3 linked regions of the Cricetulus griseus genome follow. The protein of the gene in region 3 interacts with the protein of the main gene of each other region in a pairwise test. Links are inferred from orthologs where the notes say so. Each region holds a gene or a part of one and is shown on either strand. Other genes may lie near its edges.

Region 1 (3,997 bases), on a different chromosome or scaffold from region 3:
TCCCTCTAGGACTTAGGAGGCTGCTTCCTGCCTCATTTTGGCAGAGGACCAACCAGGTTTGCTCTAACTGTGCTGACTGGGAATCCTCTCACCTTCCAGGTAGCAGGCAATCCAGCTGGGAGGAGCTGAGCCCAGGCCCCTCCAGTCCTCCCTGTCCACCTCCTTAACAGATGGAGTAACCATCCTGTGGCTTGGTTGCGGCATCCTGTGCTCCTGCCCCACCCGATACTGGGTGTTTCACAAGGGCCCCCACAATTAACAGAGGGAGGGCACTGTTAGCTGGTAACAGGCAAGAGCCAGCCCCTTTTGGGTCACTGGCTAGTCTCTGGCTCTCTGCCTAGGGTCAGTGACCACAGGGCCAGGGAACAAAAGCACAACAGCTACCTTCTACGGTCAGCTACCCTCTGGCACTTTTTAAAATTTCTGATTTCTAAAGCCTTGCCAAGAACATTTTTGTATACCCAGGCTGGGAATCCCCCACTTAGCCCAGCACCATGGCTACAGATGCAGGGAAATGGAAGGAACTGCAGGAGAGGTTGTTGCAGTGTCTTCCAGGGGAGGCTGAAGGCTGTAAGCACTTTAGGCAACAATGTGTCGGGGTGGGGGGTGGGGGGTGGGGGTGGGGGGTGGGGGTGAGGAGTGGGGGTGGGGAGTGGGGGGGTGCTTCTTAACACTTATCAAAAGAACTAAAGTGTGAGCCAGGGAGGTAGAGGCTCCTGTTCTCATCTGAGCAAAGACCCTACTACTCTCAGTCTTGCACAGGACGTGCTAAGCACAGAAGCTGGAGACACTTCTCCAGGGCCAGATTAAGAGCATTTTCAGAGGCAAGAGTCCCGTTAGATCAAAGAGAAAGAAGTCAGGGCTAGGGGTCTGAAGAGGAGCTGCCTTTCTTAGAAGGTGGCCCCCGGCTCACACCAGGAGCACAAGAAAAGGTGAGAGAGGCAGCCCTAGCAGGAGCTTTTTTCACACAGACTGCAGACTTCCCGCGATTGCACAGGGAAGTGCAGTGTGTGGTAGCTGGGAGCTGAAAAGTGCCTCCTCAACAGATTTTCCCCTCTGCTGAAGGCCTGATCAGCACAAGTGCAGCCAACTGCCTCCTGGTCAAAGGTGTGTGTGTGTGTGTGTGTGTGTGTAAGGTGTGTGTGTGTGTGTGTGTGAGTGTGAAAGGTGTGTGTGTGTGTGTGAAAGGTGTGTGTGTGAAAGGTGTGTGTGTGTGAAAGGTGTGTGTGAAAGGTGTGTGTGTGTGTGAAAGGTGTGTGTGTAAGGTGTGTGTGTGTGTAAGGTGTGTGTGTGTGTAAGGTGTGTGTGTGTGAAAGGTGTGTGTGTAAGGTGTGTGTGTGTGTGTAAGGTGTGTGTGTGTAAGGTGTGTGTGTGTGTAAGGTGTGTGTGTGTAAGGTGTGTGTGTGTGTAAGGTGTGTGTGTGAAAGGTGTGTGTGTGTGTAAGGTGTGTGTGTGTGTGTAAGGTGTGTGTGTGTGTGTGTGTGAAAGGTGTGTGTGTGTGCTCGCCCGTGCTTGTGCATGCTTAAGCGGGGAGGGAGAGCAGGTCTCAGCAAAGCTAGTGTTTCCAGCTGCCTGCCTAGCTCCTGCCAACCTAGGGTCACACGGTGACAAGGCAGACAGCTTTGGGGGACAGCTGTCCTGAGGTATAGTTCAGAGCCTGAGGAAGCTGCTCAGAGAAGCTGCTCAAGGCCAGCTTGCCCCCCAGCTCTGCTCTCCTCCAAATACTCTCAGAGCAGACATCTGGACACTAGTCTCAAGCAAGACAGTGGCCCTTCCTCAACCTTTCGGGCAAACTCCAGTGCACGAGGCCCAAACTCAGGTCTCCCCTACCCCAGATACTGACAGTATTTGAAAACAACTTAAATGTCACAGAAGCATAGTGACTCCAAAGTTTAAACACCTCTCTGGGATCTTGAATTTTCATAGGGCACAAAGTTCCACCCTAAACGAAACACCTGGCACCTACGAGCATTCTCAGGGCTCAGTGTAGTAAGTGCGGATGGGAAGTCTCTAAGCCTAACCCCAAGGTCAGCTTAAGCTAGCCATGAAACCCCGGGCAAGGAAAGCAATGCGGAATAGAGCTCGGGACCCTTCACAGCAAGAGAAATCAGTAAACATCCACGCAGCCATGCAAAGGTGGGGGCCACACCCCACACAGGCTGTCATCAGGTCAGCCTCCCAACAGGGCACACACACTTTTTGCTAACTTCGGGCGACAGTGGGACCCCAAACTCTTCTGACAGGGATAAAGGAGAGGTAAATGAGAAAGAACTACGTTCTCCACTCCATGCTCGCACCTCAAAACTTCCACCGGGTACCATCCACGCTTCCCTCCCATTAGCTGGCAGAGCTGCCCCGGCTTCCTCAAGCCACACAACCCTTCTGTCCTGACTCCCGGTCTTTTCGGTGCAAGGCCGACGCCGCCCGGCCAGCCAGGGTCACTCAGAAGGAAAGCCTCCTTCCCAGACAAGCGGGCTCGGCCCACCTAGGCTCCTCCCCTCAGCGTACTCCGATCGGTCTCCCAGTTTGGGGAGCTGGACCAGGAGCCCCAGAGCCTAGGGGGATGCGTAAGCCCGGGGCTCTACCTTCCACCCCGCGAGGAACCCGCGGCGCACCCCGGTGATGCGTCCCTCGAGGCCTTTGCCTCCAACTCACAGGTCCGATAAACTTAAACACGACCCCCGGCTCCTGGCCCGACCTTCGCCGCCCGGATCGAGCCCTGCCGCCCGCTCGGACTGCCCGAGAGCCGGCCTGGGCCCCCCGCCCCGGGCCCGCGTCAGCAGGAGCACCGAGTGACCTCATGCTGATGACTCAGCACGTCTCCGCTGGGCTCGCACGCGCGTGGCGAGCCCAAGCCGCTCAGCGGGGTCTCCCCGCCGCCGCCGCCGCCCCTGCCCCTGCCCGCCCGGCCCCGCCCGCGCGGAAGCCGACAGACACCTGATGAGTCAGCAGCTCGGTGCGGCCGCCCCGCTGACCCGGGCAGACGCGCCGACCTCGCCCTTTAATCGCGCCCCCCGCGGGGCGCCCGGGGGTCCGTCGCGCGCACGCCCGGCGCTCCCAGCCTCGCCTCGCCCGGCCCACAGCCCGGGGGTGGCACCGGCGAGCCGCCGGCTTCCGACCGCCTGGCGCAGAAACCGGGGCCCGCGCCGCCGTCGCACGGTGCGCCGCAGCCCCGAGGCCAGGCCCCGCCCCGCCGCCCGCCCGCCGCTCGCCCGCCCGCCCCAGCCCCCGCACTCACCACACTGCGGGCCCCGGCGGGCCGAGGCGGGGCTGGGGCGGGGCCGCGCGCGCTCCGAGGCTGCGCGGGGCTGGGGCGGGCGCGAAGGGTCCGGGCCGCGGGCTTGGGGCGACTGGGCGCTCGCGCGGGCCGGGCCGAGCGCGCTGGGAAGGCCGGGCCGGACCGGGTCAGAATCCGCCACCGCCGCCGCCGCCGCCGCCGCCGCCGCCGCTCCTCAGACGTCACATGATGTTTGGTCACGTGGGCTCCATTCATGAAGCGGCGACGCGGCCGGCCCGAGCTTAAAGGGAAAGGCGCGGCGACGGCGAGGCGAGCGCGCCCCAGCACGCCTGCGCAGCCCGGCGCCGTCGTCCCGGCAACCCGCCGCGCCCAGCGGACGTCTCGCGGGACTCGCGCGGCGCCCTCCGCGTGCCGAGCTCTCCGCGGCGCGGACACCGGTGGCTCCGGTTCCCCCCGGGTCTCCTCGCCTGCTCGGGCCGAGGTCGGAGGGCAGGTTTGCCCGTGTTGCCGCGTCCACCGGCACGCGGGGTTTTCTCGGGACAGCGAGCGCACCCTGGCTTGGGGTTCCGGGCGATGCCCCCGCCTCTGCCTCCCGGAGTCGCCGCGCCACGCGGGGCCCCCGCCCGCCGTGCTGATGATGTGACACGGTTGCGGAGCTTCTTACCGCATCCTGTTGCGATGCCCCCTCGTTCCCGAGTGGGTCAGAGAGCTGGGAAGGCCCAGCCCACACCCCGGCCCGCGCCCCCAAACGCCCGACTG
Region 2 (4,234 bases), on a different chromosome or scaffold from region 3:
GCCACACCTGACTTATGGGGGATTCAGTCTTTACCCAGGACATCTGTGTGTGTACCAGGCAAGCACTCTACCGAAAGGCTTCCCCAATGCTTTACTTTTTACTTTTTACTATTATTATTGTCATTTCTTGAGACAGTCTTTCCCTAGTTCAAACCAGCCTCAAACTGGGTATCCTCCTGCCTCCACCGAGTGCTGAGGACAGGTGTATGCCACCACGCTCAGCTTTTGTTTGATTCTTTAGTGACAGCAAATGCAATGTGGGAAGCACCCAGAGGCTGGCTTGAAGGGAAGAGGCCTGTGAACAAAGAAGCAAACCAACAGGCTGGAAAGACCCGGCAGGATACAGAGTTGTGATGAGCATGGTGACATCATCACCCGGCCCCCTCCCCGGGGCACAGGACGGCTGTCCCTGTGGCAGTCCTGCCCTGACCACAGTCTCACCTCATGGAGCTTGTCAGCTTTCTGGGTCTGCTTCTTCCGGCTTCTCTGAGCAGCAACCCGGTTTTTCTCTCTCCTCCGAACCTTCCTGTCATCATCCTCGGGGCTCTGGGACATGTGGAGAAGACACAATGTTCAGTCCTCTCAGCTTTGCTCACAGAGCTCCACCGACGGTACCCCCTGTACCGCTAGCCAGCTGCTGCTGGCCCTTGTTAAGAGGCGCCCCGTCCGTCCTGGGGCTTCGCTTTATGTTCATCTCCACCCCCCATCCTGAGAAATATGCACTGAGACTGTCATTTTTAAATGAGGAATAAGAGGCCTGGGTGCAGCCTAGTGGTGTCACGTTTGTGTGGGATACGTGAGGCCCTGCGTTCCATACCCAGTACCACAAAAAAACAAAAATACCAAGAGACAGGAATAAGAAACTCAGGTTAGGGAAGTTCTCCAGGTATCATGGCCAGCGTGGGGTGAGCGGGAAGTGGAACTCAGGTCTGCTGGTCTCCAAACCAACGTTCGCTCGCAAACCTCTGCCCCACAGGGCGTTTGCCTGGAAGAGCTGTAGTGTCACTGCTCCTCTGAGAGTGGGAAAGGCGGGGTGTCTGCCCTCTGAAACTTGCTGGGCACCGTCTTTACACCACCGCACACTGGCAAGACCTTTTAAAACCGTGCAGACCATAATCATGCATTTATTACTAATTGCAGCCACATAATTCTACCAGTGCGTAGAACGCCAATGACGACATGCTCACTTAAACAATGCTTGGCTGACATTTTCTTTCAGAGGTCAGGGTTATTCCAAATGCAAATTTGTGATGTATCTTGAAAGTTCTTAACCAAATATCCAAAAATTCTTCATAAGGTGGCATGAAGTGGGCAGGCAGAAAAACTTATTCAGTGGAAAAAGTTTGCTTTCCAGAAATGCATTGGAACCATTGAGGGATCGAAAAAAAAAAAAAAAAACCTTCAAGATTTAAGTCCAAAAGGCGTCTAGAAGGGGAGGGAACTTAGAATAGGCTCAGGGTGTAACCCCAGCACAGGTAAGAATAGACAACTTGCACAACAAGGGGAGTGACATGGAGACTCTGTTCAGCAGAACAAAGAAGGGTGCCAAAATGTGTCTTCTAGAAGTCTCCCTCTCCCTCTCTCTCCCTCTCCCTCTCCCTCTCTCTCTCTCTCTCTCTCTCTCTCTCTAAACAGAATTTCATGTAACCCAGGTTGGCTCTGAACAACCCCCTTCCCCCTGCCTCCCTAGCTCTGGGATTATAGGCCTTCATCACTATGTCCAGCAATCCTAAGAGCCTTGATAAACATCCAGGCGGACAGGCAGTATTAACGACAGAACTTCAGCATTATACCCTCACAGATCCTACTATAAACGCAATTCACCCATCCTTCCAATGTGTACATTAACTAGGAACCTGTCATGTACTCAGAACTCTGTTAGTCCTTAGGGACAGCTGCCCTCAACAGTGGTCGGTCTCGGCTGTTGAGGCTGGCCTGTAACGCACAGATTTTGACCTCTTTATTCTCCAAAGCCAACAAGTCTCAGGGCAAGGGACAGCATGCCTCCTGTCCTCGGGATCTGTCCCTGTAAACTGGACCTATCACCTGTCACAGATGATCACACCTGCCCACTCGGCAGAAATCTTGCGCGGAGATACAAGTCCTGCACAGCTCAAATAATCTGTGCAAAAAAAAAATCCTCAGGAGTTGATGCTACAGGGTTCAACTTATAGATAGGGAAACTGAGGCTCAGAGAGGCGAAGCAAATGGTACCTACGCGGCTCAGACTTCGGAGTAACCCCAGGACACTACATGTCAAGCATGGATAGAATTGGGAGTGCGGGACTAAGAGAAAACCAGCTAATTGTTTTAACCAAGAAGGGTTCCGACAGCTGTCTCAGCTTCTTTGTGGTGCAGCTGTGAAAGTTGGGGACAGCAGAGGGGGCTGATCGGATAGGGGCGAGGAGTTTCCACCTGTGCTGGGGGGTGGAGTCTACCCACTAGAGGCACAACCCCACACCGGCAGGCTGACCTGTCCCACGGTCCCCGTGCTGACCTTAGCGGGTGGGTTGGATGCAGGGACGAACCGCCCCTTTGGGCTGAATTCCCAGTATCGGCCCTCTCCCTCCAGCGTGGGCAGTGGGCAAGGACGCAGTGGCCCCCAGCAGCGCGCAGACCCACGTGTCCGGCGCGGGCAGGCGGGCGAGTCGGGACGGACTGCATCCTTCCAGGCGCCCGAGGGAGGCGCGCGGCTGGGACGCACGTCGGGCGGTGCCCCCACCCTGTACTCCCCTCCCCTCACCCGGCCTCCGCGCCCACTACCTGCGGCTGGTTCCCAGGCGCTGCCACACTCCTCTGCAGGACGCTGCCCGCCGGGGGCCCTTGCGACATGCCGCGCGCTCACCACACGGGGCGCCCTGAACGCGGGGTTCTGCTACCCGCGCTCCGCCCGCATCCCCGCACCTGCCGCCCCGCCCCACCCCGCTGCTTCCCGCTCTCCCGGCTCGGCTCGCCCGCTCGCCCGCCTCCCCGCCCCGCGCGTCCCGTCCGGTCCTGTCCCGTCCGGTCCCCGCCCCCTGCTCCCACCCCGCCCCGCTTCCTCCTCTCCCCGCCTTCTCGCCACACCTCACCTCGGGGTCCAGGATCCCACCTAAGTCACTGTTTTCCGCTAGGGGCCCTGTGCTTCGTGGAAGTCACGTGGCAGCCCCGAAGCCCACCCACTGGGGGAGAGGCCCGGTGGGTGGGGACGGGGTGCTGGCCCGGCACAGCCTTCGGGGTCCTCCAGCCACTCTCAAGGAGCTCGGGTGAGAAGCACCCGAGGCTTGGGTTGGTGGCTTCCCTGTCCCAGCGCGGGTCGCCGGCAATGGGGGACTCTCTTCCGGGAGAGGCTGCAGCTGGACCACGCTCACTCCCCCTGCAGCCCAGAGGCGCCAGGGGGCAGCGGGCGGGCGCCCTCGGGCTTCTCTACCAGGGCGTCGTCCGGTCCGGCGGGAGGAAGGGGCAGGGAGGGGGCGGGGTGACTCCGAGGGTGAACTCTGATGGGGGGGCGGGGGGAGGGCAAGAGGAGGCTGTGAGCAGAAACCACGAAAGGCGTCCGTGTCTGCCACGCTAGACGTCCGCCGTCGTCACTCATTCGGGGATCTGGGCAGAGCACTCTAAGGTTCCGTGGACCAGTTTGCTTCTTCAAGATTAAGGTGGCACCTGGCTAAGGACTGAGACATGCGGCTGCAGTGCTCCTGCCAGACCATGTAGAGGCAGAGCGCCCCCTTCACCTGCCTGGCAGTTTTAAAATTGCGAAGTCAAGATGACCGTGCCCAGCAAAGAAAAACAAAAAAACAAAAAACAAAAACTAGCGGTTGCAGGTTTGTGGTGTGCACACAGGGGACGATAGCTAACCATGAGCTGGGGAGGCGGGTGGGAACCAGACAAGAGGGGCCTTCCTGGGGTTTTCGTTTTGGCCTTCTGGTCTCTGGGCAGTATGGGAGGTGGCCTTTCTGAGTCCCAACCCCGTGTGCACGGCTCTCTTCCAGGATTTAAGAGGGGAGCTTGTTGAACCTGGCTGCCTGGCTTCAGGCACAAGAGGAGTCGGGGTGTCTAAGTGTCAGTAGGTTGGAGGGTGGACAGTGTCTACGTGCCTCAACCAACCAACCGGCAGAGCCTTTCCATACTGGGTGTTCTGCGTATATTTCAGTTTTGACCCCCTTCCATCAACAACATTGTGTGTGTGAGAGAGAGAGACAGAGAGACAGAGAGAGACAGAGAAAGACAGAGACAATTATATCTCACACAGTAT
Region 3 (3,976 bases):
ATGTATATTGCCTGATTCTTTGTCTGCTCTTTCTGTTTCCTGGTAATTATGAGGCTACCAACTCTACTCTCTTCTGTCATAGTGCTCTGTGTTACCTCTGGCCTAGAAACTACAGTACTAAGGGATTATGGTCTGATACAGTGAACCAAAAGAATTCTTCTGCCTTTAAGTTGTTTGTCTCGGTGATTTTTTTTCCAGTGACAAAAAGCTGAGTAACACACAGATGACATAGAAACTATATGGACAAAAGTCACCTTATAGGGCCAGAAGCAACAAGACCAAAACATAGCCAATTCCCTCTTAATTAATACAACTCAAAAGGTTAAGTAGACTTTTATTGGCTGTCCAAGGCTGTAGTCGGTGTCCTCGTACTCTGAATAGATCTGAGAAATGCCATGGAAAGAAGCATTTGTATTAAGGGTTTGACTGGAGAAGAAACTCCAGGTTTTGTAACATTTGTTTATAGCTTGGCTTCCTTTATATTTTACTGAACAGGTATTAAATTTTGATAAATAATTTAAAGGCTTCAGATATTCTTAAAAGTTCTTAGAAGTAAGAACCTGGCTCAGAGAGATTAAGAAGACCAGGATTCAAGTTAGAATTGGGAACAGGCTGGGCTTAAGGGCTTATATCCTAGGAAATATGAGGTGGGGCTAACACAGTCATTGAGGAAAGCCTCACTACAGAAAGTAAGATTTTTATTTGTGTATGTATTTTAGTATATAATTTTGGAAAAGAGTAACACACACACACACACACACACACACACACACACACACACACACACACACACACACACACTGGTTCTCAGACAGAAAACACTAATAAATGAATAATTGAACATCACCTCCTGAGACCACTTTGAATTACTGGAAGTTTTGTAAATAGTTCCAGAGAACTGTTGAGTTGAGTAAGCAAGGAAGATGTTCTTGTTCCCATCTGGAGAAGAAAGACTTACGTCTGACAATTGGCCTGCTACAGGATGGTCTGGATTTAAAGCATTTACATTTATGATCTCAGCTAACACTAGTAGCAACTCACTGACTGCTACACCTCCATGCAGTGCAACTGGGAAATGGTGACCCTGCTCAGGACCATGTCAGCTGTCATTGTTCTGTCTTCTCTTGTTACCTAGTACCTAACAGTCTGCTCCCTGACTTGACCCTGGTTACTTCATCTTAGAATGGTTTATTCTCTTCCTTCTCACAAGACTGTACAAGAAATGGAAACGGAGCTATGATGTCTATGAAAAGATGCCTATGTGAAGATATTTCAAACTTATGCTCTTCACCAGCTGGCCATTCTTCTCCTCTGTGCAGGTAGTCACAAACACTGTCCAGCAAGGGACTGAAATCTGGTGTCCCTTCCACCCACCCCACGAATCTTGTTTCTAACTGCTGCAGACTGAACATGCGAGGTAAGTGCTCCACCACTGAGCCAACTCTCCATCCTTTCTGTTTCTTCCATGTTAGATTTGGATGAGTTCTGGTGGTGCAGGTGCTCATCCCACCACTCCCTACTGTTTTACATATAATTACAGACATTAATACCTTTGTGGTATGTCTGAAGGCATCTAGATTGTGAATATGGAACCTAGGGGTAGTTATCATCTTTAACTCCTTGTGTTTTGGGTCTTTGACGTCTCATGAGACTGCTGTGAAGAAGCCACAAAGTGGAGGAGGTACTCCTGGGTCTCAGGCATGAGGACCTGGATGTGAGTTTGAGTTGCATCTCTGCAGTTTGTGTGGTGCAGAGCTTGCAAATGGCTGCTCGGGCTCTGGAGTTGTACACCATGCTGGTGCTATACAGAGAAGACTGTTCCACACGCAAAGCCTGAGGGTGCTTAGCATTATCCCCAGTCTTCTAAAAGTATGGGGACTCAGAATGACTGAGTAATCAAAGAATTTGAAGAGTGGACAATTTAATAGTTCACCACTGTGAAGCCCATCTTCTGGGTCCCCTACCTCTCAAACGACTGTCATTGTCTACACAGAGTAAGCCCAGCTATTCATGTCCCCAAAGTACAAAAATGACTGTCTTCACCGAGGTAGATAAGAAACCTGAATAGGGGATATTTTCAATGCTGATGAGAAAAGCAAATTTATACTTCTTAGAATTTTACTGCATTAATGGTGAGAACTGTTGGTTGCTTTTTTTTTTCCCTAAGCAAGGAAGGTCCTGTGAATTCTTTTGCTATTTTATTCTTAGGGGAAATCTAAAGATCCATTTGAAAGAGAGAAGAAACAGCATTGATTCAAATCCTACATAGAGAACTACACCAGACCGAGGCTGAACTACTCAAAACCCGAAGGTTAAGTGAACTAGAAACTTCGAGGGCCTGGGCCCCATGTGACGTTCAGTTCTCTTAAAGAAGCACACTCACTTTGTATTCATGCTTCTGAGGCCTCAAGTGTATCAAATAGAAACTGAATATGCTACAAGTCAACGTGTGGATGACGTGGACATCAATGTGGCACAGTGCACATGTAACTCTACCTCTTCCTTTGCCATCTTTGAAAAATAAGTCAATAAACCCCCTGTAACAATCACACAAATACACCAAGCAACTGTACCTCTTCGGGCAAGCTGACCACCAAGTCATCTTTCGTCTGTCCAACCAGTGCCTGCCAGAAGTATTCACTGCATGCAGCCAGCACGGCCCGGTGGGCTCGGAACTCCTTCCTCTCCACAATCAGAGTCACATCACAGAGAATGTCCTTTTTCCGTTGGTCATTGAGGCCGAGGAGGATGTTGGCACAGTGGACTGTGGACTCATACACATACATGGGGGAGTCAGGCTTCTCATCCACAGACATGCCGTTCAAACCCTGGAAGAAAGAAAGGCTGGGTCAGTACCCCGTAAGTGACAGAGAAGGTAAGGAGGACCATCATAGCTCCTAGGTCCTCAAGCCAGGAGCCTGGCAGAGGGGAACAGGATTGCTCAGTGGCACAGTCATTCCGGGTTGGCATAACAAAGTCAGAAACATCTGGAAAGCTGAGGCCTATTGCTTTCCTTCCACTCATGGCACCTCTTTATCTTTTAATGGAACACCTTAACACTGGGTGGTTTTGGTTTCATTAGGAGGCTAAAATACAACTTGTATGTATAAAAGTCTAATTACTAACTGAGATTTGTGTCAAAATGGAACAAATAATTTTGAAGTATTTGAATGAAGTACACATAAGTTCCCAAGTTGACATTTGGTAAAGACGTTTAGACTAAATATGAATCATGGGATATGATTCAACAAGTGCACCAAACTGTGTGTGCACTAAAATGTAGTTGTGGTCTGCTAGCCCATCCACCCTCTACCCTTCATGGCAGAGTGAGAGCAATACAACATGGCAGTCACTCCTGTCTCAGATATGGAATAATGCTGTCATTATCTCAGAAGACCCAATGAACATCTTTAAGGAGACAATATAGCAATAGGAACCATAAAAAAAGATACACTCAAAGTAAGATTTACAAGGACCCCTTTGCTTTAAAAAGTACCCTGGGAGTAATTTTAAGATGCACTGTCCATAACTATGTCAAAGGTTGGGTTTTCAGTAATGCTTATTACCAGCATAAACCCCAGTAGCAAGCCCTCCTTTCTCCAATCTTTATTTTTGCTTTTGAAAACCACTTTGGTATATGATGCTGCAATATTTGGAGTATGCAATTACCATTTGACATGTGTATGCAACTGGGAAGCCATCAATGCAATCAAGATGAACATACTATCACCACTCAAAGTCTGCTGTAGCCCTTACACGTCTCAGTAGCCATGCAACCACTGCTCTCTTCTAGAGTTATATTTAAATGGAATCATGTATATTCTGTCTGGATTATCTTACTCGGAATAATGATTTTGCCATCTACTCATGCTGTTGGGTTATCAAAGGTTTGTTCCTCCTTACATTTTGTTGGTAAGAACGGAAACCAGTGTGCCATTATGGAAACCAGCACGGAAGTGTGTCAGAAAGCTAAAAG

The links.
Region 1: the proteins of Bach2 (region 3) and Mafg interact in binary tests that used the Homo sapiens proteins (3 or more experiments, as listed by UniProt). The link is inferred for Cricetulus griseus from reciprocal best matches to the Homo sapiens genes BACH2 and MAFG.
Region 2: the proteins of Bach2 (region 3) and Batf3 interact in binary tests that used the Homo sapiens proteins (3 or more experiments, as listed by UniProt). The link is inferred for Cricetulus griseus from reciprocal best matches to the Homo sapiens genes BACH2 and BATF3.

Annotation. Positions count from the first base shown.
Region 1 is NC_048600.1:133,125,047-133,129,043, forward strand, and holds the start of Mafg (transcription factor MafG), read right to left. Parts: upstream 2,821-3,997; 5' UTR 2,803-2,820; coding exon 2,656-2,802; intron 585-2,655; exon of another isoform or gene 93-584; intron 37-92; exon of another isoform or gene 1-36. UniProt on the Homo sapiens protein: Since they lack a putative transactivation domain, the small Mafs behave as transcriptional repressors when they dimerize among themselves.
Region 2 is NC_048598.1:3,926,054-3,930,287, forward strand, and holds the start of Batf3 (basic leucine zipper transcriptional factor ATF-like 3), read right to left. Parts: upstream 2,833-4,234; coding exon 2,744-2,832; intron 545-2,743; coding exon 442-544; intron 1-441. UniProt on the Homo sapiens protein: AP-1 family transcription factor that controls the differentiation of CD8(+) thymic conventional dendritic cells in the immune system.
Region 3 is NC_048595.1:109,565,013-109,568,988, forward strand, and holds the start of Bach2 (transcription regulator protein BACH2), read right to left. Parts: upstream 2,823-3,976; 5' UTR 2,817-2,822; coding exon 2,574-2,816; intron 1-2,573. UniProt on the Homo sapiens protein: Transcriptional regulator that acts as a repressor or activator. Binds to Maf recognition elements (MARE). Plays an important role in coordinating transcription activation and repression by MAFK.